Mytilus edulis: one gene and its partners. The protein of the gene in region 2 interacts with the protein of the main gene of each other region in a biochemical or structural test. Links are inferred from orthologs where the notes say so. Each region holds a gene or a part of one and is shown on either strand. Other genes may lie near its edges.

Region 1 (8,399 bases), on a different chromosome or scaffold from region 2:
TATGTAAAGAATTCTCCATATAAGTATGACAACATTTTGCCATATAAAATTTCCTTACATTTATTTTTCCCATTCACAAAATTTAGTGTTGAAATGGAACAGAAGTACCTATGTCATTTGAAAATCCTTTCGTAAATGCCAAAGTGATGAGCACTATAGAAAGGCTAAATCAAAGGTTTATTTTGTGTTTATCCTCTTTTGTTTTCCATATATTCTACTGACATTTTTACACAGTGTACATGTAATGGTTGATGCATGTATGTAACGAATCTGCCAAATGCGAAAAGAAAGTATTTGGACTGGTATACTTACGGAAGAAGTCTTTCTTGGCTAAGTTCTTGGCACATAGAACTAAAATAGAAAAAAAAAATTATTGTATGATGTGTGTACAAGTACATATAAATATACAAGAGACTTTTCCACTCACTGACCATACTCATCATGACACGGTACAATGCAGTATAATTTTTAATACCAAAACCCAAAACACCCACAATTTCCACATACATGTATGTGAATGGTTGGAAATGATCAATAATATGTTAATCAGAGTGGCTGTTTGTACACCTAGCCGGACAAATAGTGCTAGGACTATTTGTACGGTAATTGCAATGCGCATGTCACTTTATGTGCTTGCATAACTTATGATAAGTGCATGTAATATTATCTTCAGCAGCACCATGGGGTTGCGTGTACTCCGAACACTGATTTTCAATTGTGAGATAATGGTTGAAAACGGCGATATAAAAAATTGTGATAAATTTTCCAGTTTTTAGAATTTGACAAGCAGATACATTCGATAGTATGAACTTCAAAGAATGATCCAATTTTATAAAACGGACTAAAAAGTAATTGAAATCACAAAGAAAGGGGGTCAATCATTCTGTTTGACAGCTTCAGACATACTAATTTTGTACCTTTTTCAACTAGACCAAATCCTTTTGTTAACTTAATATGCCTATCAGGACCCAAGTTTGTTTTACAAGTTATTTCTTCCCTCTTCTTACAATGTGAAGGCATAGATAAAGAAATGAATATACAAATTATGATACATATGATTTTTTTTTTCTAATTACACGTTGTCCACATTCAACTTCATATGAAACTAACAAGATTTGGCACGACAATTTAAGATGGCAAACCATTGCTTATTAAATGTTTATATATATAATTTGTGACCCCCTGGTGCGGCTGAAGGTAATATTACAAGCACACACAATATTAACATGCGCATTGTATTGGCCGGACAAATAGCAACTGCCTTTGTTAATTTGTGTGATATTATATCGAAAATGCCATTAACATAAAATGTAACAGAGCTCTTGCTAAAAAATAATTATAAACTTTAACCATTATTGATAGCACAGACCCTGCCCAGACTGTGACACATGTACATGTACAGCACTTCAAGTATCTTCTAACCCATTTGCAAAGACAAAACAAAATTAATAAGACAATGCTACATTTTATAATATAAAGAATCATATTTTTTTTAAATGATTAAGGTACATTCCCATGAAAAATCCAGATTATCCTCATAATAGTATTTCCTCTCATGTCCAAATTTGAAATATTTCCTGTCAAATGTGTATCTTCCTCTTTCATTTGTCTTTCTTTTAACAAATCATAACCTAGTTAATTCTTAATACAGAGATGCATAAAGTTAAAAGTCCATGAATTCAAGAAATATGTATATATGACATGTTTGGTTGAACATGTCTATTGGAATAAAGATTGGAAGTCCGAAGTGGCAATATACTGGAAGTAAAATTACCATACATGTACAATAGTGAATACAGACTTATGTTTTGTGTAATGAATACTATCTATTGTTTTTACAGCAGTAAAACCAATTAAAAGATATATCTATTTCAGGAGTAAATACTTATAATTCATATAAATTTTAATTTGAAAGTTATTATTTCAGGAATTGATAATTAAAGTTTATGTAGAATTTTATGCATCAGATCCAGGAAATCAAATATTCCCAGAAATGTTTGGGATTGACCCTACATAGTACATATATTATACAAAATGTAAATTGTAGCTGTATTGTTAGCAATTATACCACATCTTTTTCATACATTATATATAATCATGATAATAAATTATCTATTGAAAATGTTAAAATTTGGTCAAAGATATTTTGATAATATAAATTATAAATCAATTATTAAATGTATATACTAATCACAAAATCAAGATTATTGAAAATAATTTTTGTTTCATCTATCATAATTTTCATTTAAAAAAATAACTTAATAAATAACCCTTTTAACATCTCCATGTTAATGAAGATAATCATGACTTAATTCTCCGATTAAAATGGACTATCAATTTGAACTTAATACATATATATAAATACAAACTTTTGAGGTGTACATGTACGTACGGTACTCTGCATTTATAAATCTGCATCCTTAGGAAGTTCTTCAACAATTTGCAAATAATATATATGATAAACATGTACACAAGAATTACATGAGGATATGAATGTTTTTGAATGCATAACTAATAAACTCTTTACTCGTATACATTTGTAAAAAGGCTAACTATGCGATTCCATGTTACCTTGTCACAAAAAAATATGTCTGGACTCATTTTTTTCAAAACTTGTATGGCCAAATGATATATCATAGGAACACTATGCCAGTAAAGCAATACTAATGTTTCCCATAATTTAAGTGCTTTCATAGCCGGCAAGACAAAAAATTGAAAAACCTATTAGAATAAGTATTCAAATATGGAGCATGCTGTCTGATTATTCTATCATGTCTATTGTTGATTTCAGGATCAGGATTTTCAAGGTGATTCTCAACAATACATTTGGTTAGTAAGACGATGTCTCAACAAACTACCCAACAACATGACTCATGTGAATGACAATAATTACCTTCAAGAGATTTAATAAAATCTTATGCATATGGGTAATCACAATGTCAAAAAGAGGTATCCAACAAAAGCAATGCCAATGAGACATCTTCAGAAAAACGCTTTTCACAATCATCCTTTGTGTTTAAAGAGAAAGTAAAAGTGGTTTTCAGTCCTGGCCTTACTTGTTGTCATTTATAAAGTTTTTCATTGATGATGGTAATGTACATCATTTTAAGAGTGGTCTCAACAATTGACGCCGTCAAATTATAATATATCAGAATTTACATATATATAGGCCTTAATTCTTTCTTAAAATAGTTGGTACACTCAACGATACCGCTGTAATGATGATATTAATTGCTACTGGATTCCTCAAGGCAGCCATTTTTCTTTGGAGTACAATGGGTCATCGACAAATACCGTTTGGTTTCGATCTTATAGGCGAGTTATTTGTGTAATAAGGTGTACCTGTTAAACGAATTTTCATAGTAGATGTTCCATGACGCCTAGATCCGTTACTAGCCATTGCTAGATATCGAGATCATGATATATTTTCTGTCATTTTCATCCCCATTCATTTAAACAGAAAGCAAAATATTGTATGCAAATGAGTCTGAAACTGACAACTTCCGGTAGCGACAAAGAGGCCATTAAAAGGATTACTGTCGCCAAAGATAAGCGGGGTAATGGTAGGGGGAATTAGTAAGTCTTGCGTCCGGTATTTAACTAAAACAACTGTTTCATTAAGTGGTATTATGTAAATTGTATTCAAATTAAATTATGCCAGAAATTATGATACTTTTAGTTACAACTTATCTGGTTTTATAACTTAAAATGACATATTTATATTTGAAATAAAGTGACCTTTATTTTTTTCAGAGACAAAATGTAATGTAAATTGTAATTCACGGTCTGAAGTGACAAATACATAAAAAAATTATCGAAAAATTCTATTTCTTTTCTTATTAAAACTAGTTAAAATTATCGACAGTATTTTTACAATATTTGACACTTACACCCTGTTTCAACCACAGTCACTAATATTTGTAACTATTTTTATATATATCTTAGTGTTAAGGTATAAGGGACATTTTTTCTGAGACAAGTGCCTGTAGTTTGACTGACTGACCCTGCGGATCCTCCCTCTCCTAGTCTTTTTTCTACTTTTATCGGAGTTATCGGCGTATACATTACTGATCCAAACTTCACATGATAGAACTTGAATTTGGTGCCTGATATATTAAGTGCTGACAATATCATCTTAAATACCATTAATGAGATATAATTGCTGTGAATGACGTATTGATGCTTGGTTATCTGTATAAAGTACGATGAGGACAGTTAGTGACAGCTGTCAAGTCCACGGTCCATGCTAGAGTACAACCCTCTGCTTGGTGTCTGCTCCTCATCAAAACCATTATTTACTTTATATATATACATTGTCCAGCAAATTTATCAATTTACCGTGAGGGGGAAAAGACAATAAAATTCTAATAACATTGTTTATAAGCTAGATTAAGAGGACATTTCCACATCTCTGGGGTCACGTTGTGATATATAAAGAACTAAAAAGGAATTTACCAACATAATTGCTCATTTTACTAAAATAGATTGTAAAAACAACAAGATTTAGTTAAAATTTTAAAATTTCATCTTTTTCCTAAACTTTCTACTTGAGTCTCTTGGTGTAAGATTTTTTATTTACCGTTTAATTGCATGTTGACTGATGCTTTGCTTTAACTGACTGTTCATCTTTTTACCATAGCACGCGGTAAATGACTGTTTATCTTTTTACCATGGCACTAGAGTCACGATATGACTGTAATCTTTTCACCACGGCACACGGGCGTTTGACTGAACTTTTTACTATAACACATGGTATATTACTGTTCACCTTTTTACCTAGGCACTAGAGTAATTGGCTGTTCATCTTTTCACCGTGACACACGGTATCTGACTGAACTTCTTTTCACTATAGCACACGTTATATATCTATTTATATTTTCACCATGGCACACGGTATCTGCCCATATGACTTTTCATCCTTGTACCATGGCACTACAGTAATTGGCAGTTCATCTTTTCATCATGGCACACGGTATCTGCCCATACATCTTTTCACCATAACACATGGTATATTACTGTTCATCTTTTAACCATGACACACGTTATCTGCCTGTACATCTTTTTACCATAGTACACGGTATATTACTGTTCATCTTTTTACCATGGCACTAGAGTAATTGACTGTTCATCTTTTCATCATGGCACACGGTATCTGCCCATACATCTTTTCACCATAGCACATGGTACAAATGTATATTACTGTTCATCTTTTAACCATGACACACGTTATCTGCCTGTACATCTTTTTACCATAGTACACGGTATATGACTGTTCATCTTTTTACCATGGCACAGCCACTAGAGTAATTGACTGTTCATCTTTTCACCATGATACACGATATCTGCCTGTACACCTTTCACCATAACATACGGTATATGACTGTTCATCTTTGTACCATGGCGCAAGAGTAATTGGCTGCTCATCTTTTCATCATGACAACGTGACGGTATCTGCCTTTACATCTTTTTATCATAGTACACGGTATATGACTATCTTTGTACCATGGCACATGGTATCTGCCTATACATCTTTTTATCATAGTACACGATATATGACTATCTTTGTACCATGGCACACGGTATCTGCCTTTACATCTTTTTATCATAGTACACGGTATATGACTATCTTTGTACCATGGCACACGGTATCTGCCTATACATCTTTTTATCATAGTACACGATATATGACTATCTTTGTACCATGGCACACGGTATCTGCCTTTACATCTTTTTATCATAGTACAGGATATATGACTATCTTTGTACCATGGCACACGGTATCTGCCTATACATCTTTTTATCATAGTACACGATATATGACTATCTTTGTACCATGGCACACGGTATCTGCCTTTACATCTTTTTATCATAGTACAGGATATATGACTATCTTTGTACCATGGCACACGGTATCTGCCTATACATCTTTTTATCATAGTACACGGTATATGACTATCTTTGTACCATGGCACACGGTAACTGCCTATACATCTTTTTATCATAGTACACGGTATATGACTATCTTTGTACCATGGCACACGGTATCTGCCTATACATCTTTTTATCATAGTACACGGTATATGACTATCTTTGTACCATGGCACACGGTATCTTCCTATACATCTTTTTATCATAGTACACGATATATGACTATCTTTGTACCATGGCACACGGTAACTGCCTATACATCTTTTTATCATAGTACAGGATATATGACTATCTTTGTACCATGGCACACGGTAACTGCCTATACATCTTTTTATCATAGTACAGGATATATGACTATCTTTGTACCATGGCACACGGTAACTGCCTATACATCTTTTTATCATAGTACAGGATATATGACTATCTTTGTACCATGGCACACGGTAACTGCCTATACATCTTTTTATCATAGTACACGGTATATGACTATCTTTGTACCATGGCACACGGTATCTTCCTATACATCTTTTTATCATAGTACAGGATATATGACTATCTTTGTACCATGGCACACGGTAACTGCCTATACATCTTTTTATCATAGTACAGGATATATGACTATCTTTGTACCATGGCACACGGTAACTGCCTATACATCTTTTTATCATAGTACAGGATATATGACTATCTTTGTACCATGGCACACGGTAACTGCCTATACATCTTTTTATCATAGTACAGGATATATGACTATCTTTGTACCATGGCACACGGTAACTGCCTATACATCTTTTTATCATAGTACACGGTATATGACTATCTTTGTACCATGGCACACGGTATCTTCCTATACATCTTTTTATCATAGTACAGGATATATGACTATCTTTGTACCATGGCACACGGTATCTTCCTATACATCTTTTTATCATAGTACACGATATATGACTATCTTTGTACCATGGCACACGGTAACTGCCTATACATCTTTTTATCATAGTACAGGATATATGACTATCTTTGTACCATGGCACACGGTATCTTCCTATACATCTTTTTATCATAGTACAGGATATATGACTATCTTTGTACCATGGCACACGGTATCTGCCTATACATCTTTTTATCATAGTACAGGATATATGACTATCTTTGTACCATGGCACACGGTAACTGCCTATACATCTTTTTATTATAGTACAGGATATATGACTATCTTTGTACCATGGCACACGGTATCTGCCTATACATCTTTTTATCATAGTACACGATATATGACTATCTTTGTACCATGGCACACGGTATCTTCCTATACATCTTTTTATCATAGTACACGATATATGACTATCTTTGTACCATGGCACACGGGTATATGACTATCTTTGTACCATGGCACACGGTAACTGCCTATACATCTTTTTATCATAGTACACGGTATATGACTATCTTTGTACCATGGCACACGGTATCTTCCTATACATCTTTTTATCATAGTACAGGATATATGACTATCTTTGTACCATGGCACACGGTATCTGCCTATACATCTTTTTATCATAGTACAGGATATATGACTATCTTTGTACCATGGCACACGGTAACTGCCTATACATCTTTTTATCATAGTACACGGTATATGACTATCTTTGTACCATGGCACACGGTATCTTCCTATACATCTTTTTATCATAGTACAGGATATATGACTATCTTTGTACCATGGCACACGGTAACTGCCTATACATCTTTTTATCATAGTACAGGATATATGACTATCTTTGTACCATGGCACACGGTATCTGCCTATACATCTTTTTATCATAGTACACGATATATGACTATCTTTGTACCATGGCTCACGGTATCTTCCTGTTCATCTTTTTACCATCTATGACACTAGGGTGTATAACTGTTAATCTTTTCACAATAGCACATAGTATCAGACTACATCTATACACTGTGTCACATAATATATATGCAAGCCGTATGTTTCAGTTGTTCAGTAACAGAGCTGTATTACAAAAGGAGACGTAGATGTAACAATTTAAAAAAAATAGATTAAGAAAGGTTGCAAAACGAGACAATTTCGACGTGAAACACAATTTATGCTTGATACGGACTTCTGGCTTGTTTCACTCACTTCAATTTCACGTGAATTTAAATTCCGGTCCCCCCTTTCGTGAGAAAAATGTGGTTGATTATATAGGGAATAACTGAAGCATGACTGGAGCGCCCCCCTTTTAGGTCAGTCAGCGGGCCCCCCTTATGAAAAGTTCTGGATCCGCCACTGCATGAAATCAGTTTATGTGAATTTTCACATGAACCTCATGTGAATCTCACTTGAATTTCATGTCATGTTAATGATTCTAATAACATCTAAAATTCAAATTAAAATAAAATCATGAAAAGTAAACGTGAAAATCATGTGAAAAATTTCTCGTGAGAATCGTGTGAATCTCAATTCACGTGAA
Region 2 (9,098 bases):
ATATATTGTATGAAAAATTTTCTTCTCTGAATTTGGATTGTGATTAAATAGTTGACACATCATAGGTTTCTGACACAGAATGAATGTGATCTAATGAACTTAATATTTTTTTTTTTGCTTTTGAGCAATTCACTATGCTGTTGAGTGTTGAACATGTTGAATATTAATCCCTTCAAAAAATTAATGTTTGAAGAAATTTTCTTTGCAATTTCTGAAATCTAAAATGAGAAAAATTAGAACCCCCCCCCCCCTATTCCAAAAACAATATCAATTCAAATTTCTAATGGAGTTTGCAACAATTACTACTCATTTAAATAGATCATAAAATATTAAAATATAAGATGACATACAGTCATGGTAAAAATTAATATTAATTATAGTAACTTCTAAAAAAAGATTACAGCTAATCATCTCAAGACAAGCACCATTTCTTAATACATCATTTTCAAGCAGTTTAAGGGAGGTAATCAAACATGTATATAACAGTATTCTTTAAATGGAATTGGGAATACCTCCTTTACACTGCTTTTAAATTGTCTAAATTGCCTTTAACCAGGAAAAACCCTCGTTTCCCCCCTTTTTTGCCACTATTTGCTAAATTATTTGAGCCATAACCCCCATAACCATCCCTTCGTAGTATGGAAACTTGTGGTATAATTTTAGAGAGATTTATAGATTTAAACACTAGTTGACTGGAAACTACAAAAATGCTTATTTGGGGCCCTTTTTTGGCACAAACTTATTGAAACCCCCCTTGAAGAAAAAAACCCAAAACTCAATTCCAGTCATTCCTTTGTAGTAAGAAACATTGTAGTATAATTTGAGAGAGATCCATACACTTAAACACCAAGTTATTGTCTGTAAACTAAAAAAATGCTTCTTTTTGGTCCTTTTATGGCCCCTTATGCCTACATGTTCAGGGAAATTAACCCCAAACTAAATCCCAGCCTTCCCTTTGTTCTATGGAACATTGTGGTACAATGTCAGAGAGATCCATACAATAATACACAAGTTATTGTCCGAAAACTAAAAAAATGCTTGTTTTTGGCCCCTTTTTGGCTTTAATTCCTAGACCGTTTGCCCCTTAACCCTTAAAATAAATCCCAACCTTCTACTTATGGTATAAAACATTGTGGTACAATTTCAGAGCAATTGAAATACTTTTACACAACTTATTGTCCTGAAACTAGATAAATGCTAGTTTTGGCCCCTTTTGGGTCCCTCATTCCTAAACCTTTGGGACCATAACCCCCAAATCAATCCCAACCTTCCTTTTGTGGTTATAAACATTGTGTTAAACTTTTATTGATTTCTATTTACTTATACCAAAGTTATTACATGTATTGGAAACCATCTGTCTTTGGACGAAGGTGACGACGACCATTTTTGCAGTTGTATAAAAATCCTAAAAATAAATGCATGCAGTATTTTCTAATTTAAGAATTACTCAACTAAAAAAAACTAATTTAAAACATGCTAATAATATGCTAACTATTCAACTCTTAATTTCAACATTGTAGCATTAAAATGTAATTATAAGGATTGAATGCTCCTTTTTATAATTTCAGACGTTAATTAAAGCATACAATTGATACATTTTTTATATGAAGTGACTCTGTTTCATACAATATTTTCTTCTCAGCTTACACTTTAATACCCCAATGAAATTTTAAAGAGAAGCATTTAATTCTTATTAAAACAACTTACTTATTGTAAATCTTAATTCTTCAGTATTTGGGAAACATACAATTTGCAGAAACTGAGAAAGATATTTACCTATTTGAGGACATCTTTTGACAACATCTAGAACTTTCAAGTCTAATGGAAACATACATTTACTGAAATCTAGAGATTTTAACTGTAGCCTGTAAATAGATCATGTTTCAAAATTATCAGACAAAAATACAAATAACAACAATCAAAACAAGTAAATCTGTGAGTTACTGATCACTTTTGATACCCTGCCCTCTGAAAGAATTAGTTAAAATAAGAAGTTGTTCAGTGATGAATTTGATATGCATCACACAGTAAAGCTGACTCATATTAACCCATAAACCAAATTTCAGAAATCTTGTTGTAATGTAGATATTGAGAAAGATGCGACAAAAAATATTCATGAGACGTCACAGACCGAAAGACTTACAGATGGATGGACAGACTGATAGACAGAGTTTAAAGCAGGGGTATAAATATCAGTTAAGAATTAATAGTGAAAATTGCTGTGGATTTATTATTACTTGTGGGAACAAATTTACATGGATTTCCTGCGTGTACTTTACCCATATATTTAAAATATAAAAAAATCCAAAAAATTTGAATGGAGTATTTTATCAGAAAATTTTCATTTGATATATAGTATTTTGACAAGGACACATTTTGATCATTGGGAAACATTATATTTCCTTAAAAATAAAATTTGATTTAAACATTCAGCTGCTTTTTACAGAGTTATCTCCCTGTAGTGTTATGTACCACGTTAACAAATAATCACTGGTATATTTTGACTTACCATATAGTTGCTTTATCACACAATTGGTTGAATCTCCTACATGTCTGACTAATGTGGAAAATATCTTGCCAAGTCAAATGTTTGCAGATCTCAAATATAACACCTGATGGAAGATACTCAAGCAAGATGTTTGACCTAAATTATAAATTATAGGTTCATGCAGCTTTATAAACATTTAAATAGTTCTATATTTTAGTAATATGTAATGCATTTGCATAAACCACTAGTTTGAATGTTACTATTTTATATTACATATGGTATAGCATTCAGAGGCGGATTTAGGGGCCCGGGCCCCCCCTTTTTGGGAAAAAAATTGGTTGCTTATATAGGGAATCACTGAAGCGTAACTGGAGTGGCCCCCTCTTAGGTCAGTCAGTAGGCCCCCACTGATTAAAATTTCTGGATCCGCCACTGGCATTCTACTGTTTTCATTGGATAATATGACGATCACATGTTTCAAAGGTTGTATTTTTTTAACATATAGTGACGCTATGCTGCTATTAATACATATATTGGTGGTCAATATGAAAATGTTACTAAATTTAGATTTATGACGTCACACATAACAACCACAGAAGAAGCGCCGCATTAGAAAAGAAAATTTGAAAGTTTATCAGGAGATTTCAAGAATTTTATGTTAAATGCAGATGAAAAGAATTTGAGAATGCTAATGCAACAAAATATGAAGTTTAAAAAAAAATGATATTGTCAATAACATTTTTAAATTTTTGCAAAATACAATTAAAAAATACACAGAAAGAACATTGAACGTCATTTTTCTAATACGTTATTTACATATGTAATGTAGAAATCAAGGACTTTCACTCAGTCAATACGCTATATATGGACCTGTAAGATTATATTAACACTCAGACTTCGTGCCCGCTCAATATAATCTGAACATATATATAACGTATTGACCTGGTCAAAAACCATGATAATTGATAAATATGTGACTTGAAATATACAGACCTGGATAAATCGTCATTATATGATCGCATGTGCTTGTTCATCTTTTTAAAAATATATATTTATGTTAATATAGGATAACATGCATTATAACAAGTCTTTGTATTGTTAGTTATTTCTTTCAGACTTTTTCTAATTTGAATATATTAAGCATGTTAAGTAAGTATGTTAAAAATAAAAAATGAGAATGTTAAGTTAAATGGATAAACATTGAAAGCTATTATTATAAAAAAAAAAGCCCTTTAGCATGTTAACCAATCATTTAAAATATTCACAAAAGGATACTTTTTCAACACCACCATCACAGTGTTACTAGCTGCAGTGTTATGTGCATGGAGCAAGGATGCATTTTCAACAATAAATATCATAATGTTTCATATAGTCATCAGCAATGTTTGTTTGAAACTGAGTAACAAAAATAAATTCCTGTTTAATTTACAAATTCCCAAATTGTCACACATTTTGGTAATAGTCTACTTCTGCTTTGAGTTCTTAAGTGAAGTGTAAGAAACTTTGAAAAAAAAATCTGTTCTCTGTAGACAAACTGTTCTTAAATTACAAAAAGCTATACAGAAACAATTCATGGACCTATTCATATACACCTTAATTAATCCTTATTGCTAATCCTGACTGACCCCTGAATTTGTCCCGCTCGAACTATTGAAGTCATACAACAATCACTTTTCCATTGTGGCGTCAGATATTTTGTATTATGACGTCAAAATTTTACGGGAACCTGTGCAATGTCCAGTAATGGCAGACATTAAGGGGGTTCACGGGTCTATATCAACTTTTTTTGTAATATAGGATTTTGCTATTTTTTTCTATGATTAAACTTTATCTTATACCTAATAGAAATATAAAATAAAAATATGGGGTCACCGTTCATTCAAGCTCACAATCTGCTTCCGAAAGAAGCATACATTTTTGTCAATGTCCTTTTTTTCTGTGGAACTAATAGAAGAAATATTGGTAATATCAAAATAAAAAAAGAACTAAATTACAGAAATCGCTTAATTTTTACAATTGTTTAGTTTATGTACAGCCTATTTGAAAACAATAATAAAAAATATAGGTCACCGATGAGTTAAAAAAGATATTTCAATTTAAACGTCAAAAAATTACATTTTTGCACCAAAGGGAGATAATTTGGAGCTTTTTCAATGATATATACATTTTTAAAGTCATCTGTGGCCAAACCAAATCGATTAGTCCGGGTGATTTTTGTACCATATCATAAAGTAATAACTAATAGTGTTATAAATAAAATTTGTTGTTTAATTTTTTGCTGATTTTTTTATACACACGAGCCTCCTTAAATAGAGATAAGGTGTATTGGATTAATTTGAAGCTGGAGGTGGTGCATCTGATGAGTTTTGTGGCAATGCCGCCAACTAATATCACAAAGACAGCACGCAAACAAAACATAAAAATGACAGCATTTTACTATCAACAGACTAAGTATTTCCCAAAAAATTCCAATGTGTAATTACTAAAGACTAAAAAAATAGTGTGTTTACCATTCATATTTGTCTGTTCCTGCCATATTCTACTACCAGCTGATTAAAGATGATTTGCTCAGGACATTATAACATTTATTCAGTTTGTTATTCTGAACAACTTGCAAAATTGGCAAACTGAAAGTAGATCAGAGTACCACAGAAGCTTTCATGCAGCGTAAATGTATTATTCACGAATAACATTTTAATGTTATGATTTCTGCTGTAAGACATGTATTCCAAAAACAAGAAAATATATTTTTTAAACAGTGATACCGATTACTTTTATTGATTTCAGATCATTTTAATAAAATTGCTTTCCCGTGTGCGTTTTATTTTTCTAAAACGAAAGTAGACATATTCATACGCTATGAATATTATTTCTACCCGGAAAAAAATACAGCAATAATCTTCAATATTTTTCCTGTAGTACTTATGTTCGAAATTTCATATTAACTAAAAAATTATTCAAAATAAAATCGCTAATTTCTGTGTCAAAAAAAAATAATCCTTTTTATTTACGTCAACAAATGTGGAAGGATAAAAAAAACTGATGTTGTTTGGTTAATGTTTTGGTGCAAAATTTCGTCAACAATGACCGATTAAATACCCTTCTTTGAATGACAAAATATTTGTGAGAAATGGGCAACTGTTTCAAAACACCAAGTACGGATGATATTACGCTGTTACATGACAATGACAGCCAAGATGGAACTCAGCAGGCAGCTCCTGTTCCAGTTGGACCTCCACCACCATATCAGGTAAATATTTCCTATTTTATGGTCATTATGAGAAGTGTACGCAAATCAACAAACATTTACTTTTAGTTAGGACTATAATTTAATGGATATTTGTGACATTTTGAAAAAATATATATTAGCTGATGTCTGTGTTTGTATAATAAATGTACCCCATGATCAGCTGATCTTGACAACAAAGACAGTCTATGTCCTATTTTTAGAACAGTGACACACAAAAACACATGGAAATGAGTTTCTGAATAATATTAAAACTCATTTGGTTCATAATTAATGTCAGTTTTAAAAATCTTCACAGAGAGTATGTTTATAAAGTTATTTTATATATACAATGTAGGTGATACACAGACTACAAAAAAATACATTGTAAATGAAGGTTATTAATTGTACATTTCACCTTCAATCTAATGATTGTTAGGATGACTAATTTAGGAGATTTGATTCGAGCGTCTTTAGAACAGTGACACACAAAAACACATGGACCTGTAAACAATGAATGTTTCTGCATAATATTAAAATCATTTTGGTTCATAATTAATGTCCATATCTACAAAAAGACATAAACCGCATAGAGAACATACAAAGAAGAGCAGCTAGATTCCTTTGTAAAGACTATAGACGTACGAGTAGTGTCACCTCCATGATGAAGGACCTTGGATGGAAACCTCTTGTGGAACGAAGAGGAGAACAATGACTGGTACTACTGTATAAAATAGTGAACGACCTGGTAGCCATCCCCACTGAACATCATATAGAATTTAATACTAGACCATCCAGAATTTCTAACGTCAAACAAATAAAACTTTTATCAGCAAATACTGACATTTATAAACATTCTTTTTTTCCACAAACTATCATTGATTGGAACTTACTACCAAATGCTGCCGTGAACTGTAAAACTGTGGAAAGTTTTAAGGCAGTTATATCGCATGACTAGATACATCAGTGGTGCACACACATTTCCTGGATAAGTTTTACTCAGTATTTTGAGTTCATTTCCAGTATTATACAGATACAGATACAGACAATGTCAGTTTTAAAATCTTCACAGAGAGTATGTTTATAAAGTTAGTTTTATATAAACGTGATACAAAGACTACAAAATTTAAAATATACATTGTAAATGAAGGTTATTGTACATTTCAACTTCAATCTAATGATTGTTAGGATGACTAATTTAGGAGTTTCGATTCGAGATTCGAGCGTCACTGGTGAGTCTTTTGTAGACGAAACGTGTGTCTGGCTTTTATACAAAATTTCATCCTGATGTCTATGATGAGTTTATTTAGGAGACACAGGATATAATTGTTTCAGATAGATAAGGATTTGTTTCAGGTTCAGGTATCAATGGTTAGTTAAGTATAACTTATCAGGTATCAGGACCTTTATTAAAGTTAAAGAAATCCTAAATGTGTATTGACTATAGAAATTTATTGCCAATAACTGGAGTAAGGAATGTGCAGTTATGTACATGTAAATGTGGCTCTAATAAACCACTATCATGACAATCATGTAGAAGTATATATGCCTTCTTCTTTCATCAACTGCTCTGTCAGCTCTTAACACTCGTAACTTTTGTCTTGGTCATTTCAGGAGCGAGCTCCAGTATATTATCCATCACCCAATGTCAGTCGGCCAGCTAATATGCTTACAGAAGATGAACAGATAAAGATTGCCCAACGATTAGGTCTTATAAGTCATTTACCTACAGGAGTTTATGATGGGTGTAGTAAACGAGGAAAAGAGTAAGTTGATCATATTTATACATGGGTGTCACTATCTTAGTGGTTACCTTGTAACCGTGCTTTGTAAAAAAAGTCATATTTATGTGCCTTATCATTCTTTAATATGGGTATGAATAATTTATATAGTAGAATCTCATCATATGGCACCTGGCTGAAATGGCTTGAGTCGTAAAAAATTAAAAGGTTCAATCTGAGACTACTATAACACATATTGTTTAGTCAGGTACAATGTACCAAAAATGTCTGGCTGGCTCAATGTTTTTCTTTAAACCTGTTTTCCGGAAAAACAGCGATTGAAGGTCAGAGCAATATTGGACTAGCATTTTGCTTAGTATTTTATATTCATAAGTTACAATGTATGTTTCAGATTAAATCTATAGACTAAAAGTTTTAGGATTTGTTTTTTGTAAAAAAAAAACACTAGTGAAAATGTTTATTGTATTATTTGTTCTTATAATAGAGTCGCTTGTTTTGGTCTGCAGAATACAGATTTTAATTTTTAAAATAATCTTTTATAGCTTAAATTATATTTATGTTTTATCAAATTTTGATACTGTCTAGTGTCTACCTAATATGTTTGAAAAGTGTATATTTAAGGATTGATTTTGTGTAACTATAGGTATCAAAAGAGTTCAATTGATTTATATTCCTTTTCTTTACCGTAAATAAACATACATTATTTATATTTCCATGTAAGTAGACAGGTTGAAAAAAGTACACTTGGTTAACTATCTTTAAATCTAGCTTTACTAAGCACTTTAATCATGTGACCTACTTATTATCATAAGGAAGTACTCATATAGTAAACAGGAATTAGTTATGTATTGTTTCATTTACATTATTTTGTCAAAACTTCCTGTTGAGGCCCCATCACATTATAAGTGCTTTAAAAGGTTCTTTTGTAAATCATTTTATATTTTAAAGGCCAACAAAAAAATATTCATATTTTTTACTGTCAGACTCGCATGATGATAAAAAAATATTCATATTTTTTACTGTCACATGATGAAAAAAAATAGCATATTAAATAGGTAATTTATCTTTAAATATTCATATTTTTACTGTCACATGATGAAAAAAAAAATGGATTTTAAAAATAGTTAATTTATATTTCCATAGTCTACTGCGCAGACATTGTGTCCTTGAAAGTACTGAAAAGAAAATGATGATAAAAATAGGGTAGGGGTTAAAATAGGGAAGTTTGATTGACTGTGCACAAAGAAATGATTTTAATCTTTTATTGTAATAATATTCTTTGAGTAGGAATTCCCCACAGCTGTGACCTTTAAAGTTTACATTTTTGCAACATGATAATATTATCATTTTGTTCATAAAACATACTACTGTTAGTATTTTTGAATATCAACAAATTTAATGAAATGGAATGCAATGCAATCAAAACAAACATGGAATGCAATGCAATCAAAACAAACAAAGATAAAAAAAATAATGTTTTATTGCTATTAAAATTTCTATGTGCATAAAGAATGCAAACATTACATGTAGCCCTTTTCTGTCTCACTAAACCCATAATCATTTGTTACACTACATGACTAGTTGAAAGGCTCTCATAAAAAGGTCATTTGCCAGATAAGAAGCCACTCAAAGAACAAATGAG
Region 3 (7,902 bases), about 95 Mb from region 2:
ATCATGTGCATTTTTAATTGGGGATTGTCTATTAGGGACGACATCAAAAGATCGATGTAGGATAAAAAACTTAAATCAAATAGTTTGGGGGTGTGGGGGGTTAAAATTCTGAAAGTTTTGTATATCTAAAATCGATTTTTACATATATCCCTATAGGTAAATCAATTTTTCCCAAATTAAGTTAAGAGGGGGGGGGGGGGGGGGGGGGTCAGTGGAAAAACTATGTGAATTAAGTTTTTTATCCTACATTGAACTTTTGATGTCGTCCCTAACCCTAAGACAATAACCATGGAAACATGAAAATTATCTCAATGTATTTTTAAATGTACATGATCATATGTGAAAGTTTACAAAAAAGAAACTGTGCAAAGTGATACAAAATCTTAAAAAGAGGCTTAGCAGAGTACAACAGCCACACTCACTGTTAGAAGGGACATAAAGAGGCTTAGCAGAGTACAACAGCCACACTCACTGTTAGAAGGGACACAAAGAGGCTTAGCAGAGTACAACAGCCACACTCACTGTTAGAAGGGACACAAAGAGGCTTAGCAGAGTACAACAGCCACACTCACTGTTAGAAGGGACACAAGATATAACAGGTCTAAGAAAACATTGAGCAACCAGATGCACCGCAGGGCGCAGATTTATACAACCGCAGACTTCGAACCCTGAACAGTTGTGGCAAGTATGGACACAACATTCAAGCTTGATACAGCTCTAAATTTGGATTGTGATTAAATAGTTGACACAACATAGGTTTCTGACAAAGAATGAAGGTGGTCTAAGAACTTAAACTTAAAAACTTTAAAATTTTAAATTGGACATTTACCTATTATGGTCCAATATCCAAAATCTAACTACATGGTTAGATTCAGCATATCAAAGAACCCCAAGAATTCAATTTTTGATGAAATCAAATAAAGTTCAATTTTGGACCCTTTGGACCTCAATGTGGACCAATTTGATAACTGGGGCCAAATATCAAAAATCTAATTACATGGTTGGATTCAGCATATCAAAAAACCCCAAGAATTCAATTTTTGTTAAAATCAAACAAAGTTTAATTGTGGACCCTCTGGACCTTAATGTAGACCAATTTGAAAAAAGGACCAAAAATTAAGAATCTAAATACACGGTTAGATTTGGCATATCAAAGAACCCCAATAATTCATTTTTTTATCAAATCAAAATCAAACAAAGTTTAATTTTGGACCCTTTTGGCCCCTAATTCCTAAACTGTTTGGACCAAAACTCCCAAAATCAATCCCAACCTTCTTTTTGTGGTCATAAACCTTGTGTTAAAATTTCATAGATTTCTGTTTACTTATACTAAAGTTATAGTGCGTAAACCAAGAAAAATGTTTATTTGGGCCCCTTTTTGGCCCCTAATTCCTAAATTGTTGGGACCAAAACTCCCAAAATCAATCCCAACCTTCCTTTTGTGTTCATAAACCTTTTGTTTAAATTTCATAGATTTCTATTTACTTATACTAAAGTTATTGTGCGAAAACCAAGAAAAATGCTTATTTGGGCCCTTTTTTGTCCCCTAATTCCTAAACTGTTGGGACCTCAACTCCCAAAATCAATCCCAACCTTCCTTTTGTGTTTTAATTTCATAGATTTCTATTTACTAAAACTAAAGTTATAGTTCGAAAACCAATGTGTCTACGGACGACGAAGACACCAACGTCATACCAATATACGACCGAAAATTTTGTTTGCGGTCGTGTAAAAACTACCACAACAAATAAGGTGTGATAACAATGTTCTTACATTTAATTAAAACATTAAATGTTAAAAAATTATCCCTGTATAATTACTTCTTATGACATATGTATGACATAATAAAGAAATCAAATTAAAAAAAAAAAAAAATTTAAATCATTTTCCTGAAATCCTTTAAAAAATGGTCAGTCCTCTCTAATTTTTAATTAATTTTTTTTTGCATATAGCAAGAAAATATGTGGAGGTTAAAGTTTAGACAAGTACAAATAAATTGTATAATGATTATATAGTCCAATTTCAAGATTAGATAAACAACTTAAAATACCATTCATATTATATAATTATAGTCAATGTATTGTCTCAATACTGCATGCCATAACCATTTACCGGTAATATTACGTCTAATTGTCTATAATGGAGAAAAATTGTCAAATAAAAGCTGGCATGGTAATCATATTCAATAAAATATGACACAAGCAAAAGAAAGATATATACAAAATTTACCTCAGTACAAAATGGTGTCAACTGTTGATTTACTTTTGGCTGAACATATTGGTGGAAGACTGATTCTGTTTGAAGAGTCACAGCATTTATCTTCAATACTGGAAATTCTATAATTTCCTAAAAAGTACATTTTTGAAAATTTAAATAAACCTTGTATTACCATAAATTTACACAACATGTAGCATTTAACCTGAACTTGAAATCAATGATAGGCTTTCTCATTTCTGTGGAATATCCATAGGAATAATTCAAGAATAGTGTCAAAGGACTGTCGTTGTCCTATGCACCCTGGTTTACCAATTTGATATAGAAGTAAGTGGCATAATTCAAATAAACAGCTGCACCATGAACACATGATACGCCTGTCAATTTTTCATAGGTGGAGAAAGCCGGAGTGTCCCGAGAAGACCACCAACCTTGGATAGGAAAACTGGCAAATCTAGTCAATTGAGATTGGAGTCGAATTCTCCTGCAAGAGCAGGGTTCAAACTCACAACCTCAGTTTTGACTGGCTAGTAGTAGAACTACATAGACCACTCTGCCAACAAGGCACCTATAAATTATATAAGATATGTTATATACATGTACTATGTAAGATATCTTTTAAAGTTTAGAAGATAACTAATAAAGTACATGTATAGAAGTTATCTTATAAAATTTATAAGACATAATATATAAGATATCTTATAAAATTATATTATGTGAAATATCTATTAAAGAAATCTTGGGAGTACACTGTAAGGCCTAGAATGATGCATGTTTTTCCAAACTTGCAAGACTGCCATTTAATAATAGGATAATGTTATCAAGTATTAAATTCTGGGACCATTTAATCACTTCAGATGGAAGTTAAGTTCACCAAATATATAATGCTACAAAAATAAGCAACCCATGGGTTATAAGCTTACTATTAAACCCCTTTTTGGTTTGATAACACAAGAAATAATTGACCAGGGTTTTCAGGAACAACATGCAAATATTTCAGCATCTCCAAAATCAATTTTTTTCTAGAGTGTTTACAAAATGAGTGAACGTGCAGCTTATGTTGATGCTTTAAGAAATAGATCAGTTCGATCATCATTTTGTAAAACTGGTCTCCAATTAAAGGCAAAAAGAGACCCACATTTGAAAAGGTGAGCTGACACAATTGCATGTTGGCATCCAGATTTTTTACTTTTGATATTTGAAAGTTGAAATCAAATGATCTCACGTTTGAACTGATCAGAGCATAATACGCTAAAAGGAAAGCATATATTTAAAGAAAACAAAATTCAAGGACTAACTTGGGGCAGGATGTACACATAAGTGTCAAATGGAATAAGCACATATGAGGGTCAAATAAAATAAGCAAATATGAAGGTTAAATAAATTAAGCACAAATAAGGATCAAATTGAAATAAAACAGCACATTGAAATACAGCCCTTCCAAATGTTATATTAGCACATCAATAAAACAATGGGGTTATATAATGAATTTCTTACACATGCATTATCATTGCTATTCTGCAACCAGGATTTTTTTAAAAAGGAGGGGGTAATTCCCACTAAAGCGATAAACAATCAAAGAAAATTATTTGATGATTTTACTAAAAATTTACATATTGTAAACAACATATTTATTCTTGGGTGATCAATTTAGGGCGAACACCACTGACACATCCATCACTACGCACAGGGGCTTGTTTAGTGGGTCAGACGAAGTTTTACTGTCAATGGCGATCACTATCCTATATAAAATATTTATTTTTATAAGCCCCTGTGCACTACCTGACTACGTCTGTATGATATCTGCCACTGGCACCCATCATCATCATACTGATACTAAGTGAAACACATGTCCCATCTTTCTTTATACAAGTTAATGATATGAAAAATACCTGTGGCACAATTGTTCTCCCATTCTCACATGTTGCTTCAAAATCCAAAACCAGAAAATATTTGAAAGGTTGTGGCTGTAAATTATTTGTGCCCTGTAAATTTGTATCAGAAACTGCTGCCATGTTTATACAATTAGTTGATATTGCAATATGTTGTCTGAAAATTCGTTGTACTATCGGTTTCAGGAGATTGCATGATGTTTTGTAAATACACATGACAACTTCTACTTTTGGTTTCGTTTCTAAACTACGACTTCCGGTTTAGTCATGTGATTGATATTTTCCCTTGACCTTGATCATGCTGAACATCAATAAAGATGAGATCATTCAATACAAATGATTCTGAATGGCATATCTGGTAAATATTTCAGATAGTTTCTCCTGAGTTTTTCAGAAGGTGATCATAAATGTGATGATAACTTTAAAAATTGAATATTTGTCCACTTAACCCAACATAAGCGCAGGAATCTGAGATCAGCTCACAAATGTCTAAAATTGATACAAAATGACAGATGATTAAAGAATTTGACCATAATATTCCACCATTTGCAATATATTTAAGTGTATGGACAGAAATTATAAGGATATTTATAAAGGGGACAAATGCTGATTGTATACACAAGATTGGTTGTACGTTTAAGAAATTTTTGACAAATTTTTTACATCTTATCGCTATTTCGAAATCTGTTTGCCTTGACTTAAGAATCTGTGTACGCTTGAACTATTGACGTCATACAACAATCACTTTTCCATTTTTGCATCAGATATTTTCTTTTAAGACATCAACATTTTACGAGATCTTTTGTGATGTTCAGTAATTGAGGACAAATAGCGATAAGGTGAATTATATATGTTGCAACAAGGTATTGGTGAATAAAGTAACTAATCTGAATGTAGCTGAATTCATCCTAAGACTTTGGTGCATCCTTGTGAAGCCTTCGACTGATTGTATGCTGAAAACTTTTCCCTCCTGGTGCATATATCCCTATTTGGATATGTGTGATTCTTGACATTGCAGATGTAAAGACTCCTATTGTCAACATCATGATGTAATGATGTAAACACAAAGGTACAGACTTGGTATGCCATATATAAAAACAATGTTGACACAAATTTGTTAACATCGCTTTGTTTATGAAGTAAACTATGTAAAAAAAGGTATAGACTTAGTAAAAAGTATGAACACAATGTTGCCTTGCTACTGTTAACATGTCTATGATGTAAACACAGAGATACTTGGTATACAATATAAACACAATGTTGACTTGCTACCGTTAACATGTCTATGATGTAAACTCAGAGATACTTGGTATACAATATAAACACAATGTTGACTTGCTACTGTCAATATTGCAATGTCTACAATTGGAACAATGTAGACACAAAGGTATAGACTTGTTACATAAACAATATAAGCAGGATCTTGACTTGCTATTGTCAACATACATGTAGCAATTTCTACTATGTAAACAATATTAACACAAGTTATAGATAAATTAAACAATGTAAACACAATAATGACAAGATACAGTAAGCATTGCAATGTCAACAATGTGCACTGGGCATACTTAAAAAAACTGGGTTAATAAAAACGTTTTTACTTGTTTGGTTGCTGACTCTTAAAAAAATTAATTATACATCTTATGATTTTAGGATGAATATCATTTTCTGACATATTCAAAACAATGGATAGTTTGATAGTTGACCTTGACAAGGTGCTGGATGACTTTGAAGCAGAAGGTAATATTAACAGTTTTACATCATGGAACTAGTTTATGTGATTAGATTAATTATGACTGATTTCAAATTTAAGCAAATAACCAGTTTTTATATGACTGCAAAATTTTTGCAGTTGAATAATGTTATCACGCTATCAGGGTCATCATTGTTTGAAGACATTTGGTTCCAGATAATAGCTTTAGTGTAAGTGTATGTATCTCTATGAAATTGTACCACAAGGTTCCAAGGGGTTATTCTTGTAGATGTTTAGGAATAAGGGACCGCCATAAAGGGAGAAAAAAACTAGGATTTTCTGGTTTCCGAATTTATGAACAAGATTTTCTTTTTTTATTAAAATGTATTACTCATACATTTTGATAGTATTTATTCTTGATCATGAATTTATAAAATTGCTTAGTTTATTTTCTAGTTAAATTGATGATAAATAAAATTGCTAATATGGAACTTTCTAACAACTAATAACTTCTGTACATGTAAGTGCCATGTTTAGCATAGCGCACCAATTTCCCATCAGAAAAGTAATTTTTGAAGTTTTTGTAAACTTTTTGGTTTGTTGTTGGTTTATCTTTTAATTCCTAACCTGTAGAGCCAGCTAAAATGCAACATAAACTATATAAAGGGAAGTAAGATACACATTAGTCAGACTTAGGTCGTATTTTAATCTTTTATTACCAAAATGTTTTTATACAGTTGCAAACTCATGTGAATAAATTTGTTTAGTAAATTTATGTCAATTTTCAGAGTCCACAAGTAGAAAACCTACTGGAAATGTGTCATCTGAATATGCAACTTATCTCTCCAAAAATGAGGATCATTCTTGGGAAGAAGTAAGTCGAGCACCGGCAGGTTCTGCTCCTAATTGGAAGAGAAACAGCAAAGATGAATATCTGTCCTTTATTGATTATGGCGAACCTTATGAACCAGCAAGTAATTTTGATTTGTCTGAGGCAGACTTTGCACCATCATTGAAAACAAAAACAGAGACTGTATCATCCAAATTCAGCAATGTCATAACAAATGGACATGTTGAAACGGTTGAAAATGGAAATTTTGACTTTGGTCACAAAAATCCTGATAGATTATTACATACCACTAAACCTGGTGATTTAACACTAACAATGAATGGTTACCATGACAATAAATCTGCACCAATGCATATGCATAATGAAAACAATAGTCAGATGATTGATTTACATGGTTGTGAAACTTCTGATTTAACAGAAAATGAATTCGGAAATGTAGATCGAAGTGTGAACTTTGACGACACTTATAACAAATTTCCTATTCAGGTAGTGGATATATTCACACCTGTATCTGAGGATGTACCTCAAATACCTTCATCTACAACATATCAACAGAATGCCATACCAAATAACTTTTATCAAAGTAACGGGAAGGATAATGTGGAAGAAAATATTCATGTAAATTTAAATGAAAGTGTACCAGTGAATAGTCATGATAGTGCAATATCTCATGATATAAATATTTCAAAAGTTCCATCAGTGAGGAACGAAGATCTAACCAAGAACAAACCTATGGAAATGATTCATAATAATTTGCATGCCAAAACTCCGTCATCGTCTTCTCATACATCAGAAAAGAGAGTCAATGAGTTAAAGTCAGTTAACACTGAGCTATCATCCTCACTTACTTCAGACAATACAAAAACTGACTTACAGCCAGTAAAAACTGAGCTTTCAACATCATCAAAGACAGACAATAGAATAACTGAGTTACAATCAGTTAAAACTGAGCTTTCGTCCTCACCTGTGTCAGATAATACAAAAACTGAGTTACAGTCAGAAAAATCTGACTGTTTAAACTCTGAATTAACCAGGAAAAGAACAGATCAAATACAATCAAATCTTGCAGGAAATAATGATAATAAGAAGGCAGATGAAGGATATGATTCTTATGACTGTCTAGGAAGAGATGATGCTAATAGTGTTCTGTTTGTGAAAAAGGAAGCAACACCGACTTTGGACTTATCAGATGTTATTTTTGACAATAATGCATCAATAAATGATAGTGTCAGTGGTGTCCCAAATAACAAACC

Evidence for each region. The genes of interacting proteins can lie anywhere in the genome.
Region 1: the proteins of RING finger protein 11-like (region 2) and E3 ubiquitin-protein ligase SMURF2-like form a complex in vitro, tested with the Homo sapiens proteins (3 studies listed by BioGRID and IntAct, with this or other methods). The link is inferred for Mytilus edulis from reciprocal best matches to the Homo sapiens genes RNF11 and SMURF2.
Region 3: the proteins of RING finger protein 11-like (region 2) and zinc finger FYVE domain-containing protein 9-like form a complex in vitro, tested with the Homo sapiens proteins (2 studies listed by BioGRID). The link is inferred for Mytilus edulis from reciprocal best matches to the Homo sapiens genes RNF11 and ZFYVE9.

What each region holds. Positions count from the first base shown.
Region 1 is NC_092352.1:15,167,556-15,175,954, reverse strand, and holds the start of E3 ubiquitin-protein ligase SMURF2-like, read right to left. Parts: upstream 3,526-8,399; 5' UTR 3,401-3,525; coding exon 3,343-3,400; intron 352-3,342; coding exon 313-351; intron 1-312. UniProt on the Homo sapiens protein: E3 ubiquitin-protein ligase which accepts ubiquitin from an E2 ubiquitin-conjugating enzyme in the form of a thioester and then directly transfers the ubiquitin to targeted substrates.
Region 2 is NC_092344.1:15,814,693-15,823,790, forward strand, and holds the start of RING finger protein 11-like, read left to right. Parts: upstream 1-5,597; 5' UTR 5,598-5,618; coding exon 5,619-5,738; intron 5,739-7,328; coding exon 7,329-7,480; intron 7,481-9,098. Other genes in the region: uncharacterized protein, read right to left, coding at 1,777-1,865, 2,510-2,644, 4,999-5,024. UniProt on the Homo sapiens protein: Essential component of a ubiquitin-editing protein complex, comprising also TNFAIP3, ITCH and TAX1BP1, that ensures the transient nature of inflammatory signaling pathways. Promotes the association of TNFAIP3 to RIPK1 after TNF stimulation.
Region 3 is NC_092344.1:110,623,076-110,630,977, reverse strand, and holds the start of zinc finger FYVE domain-containing protein 9-like, read left to right. Parts: upstream 1-4,377; 5' UTR 4,378-4,464; exon of another isoform or gene 4,465-4,503; intron 4,504-5,759; 5' UTR 5,760-5,791; coding exon 5,792-5,846; intron 5,847-6,587; coding exon 6,588-7,902. Other genes in the region: ERI1 exoribonuclease 3-like, read right to left, coding at 2,230-2,346, 4,107-4,322. UniProt on the Homo sapiens protein: Early endosomal protein that functions to recruit SMAD2/SMAD3 to intracellular membranes and to the TGF-beta receptor.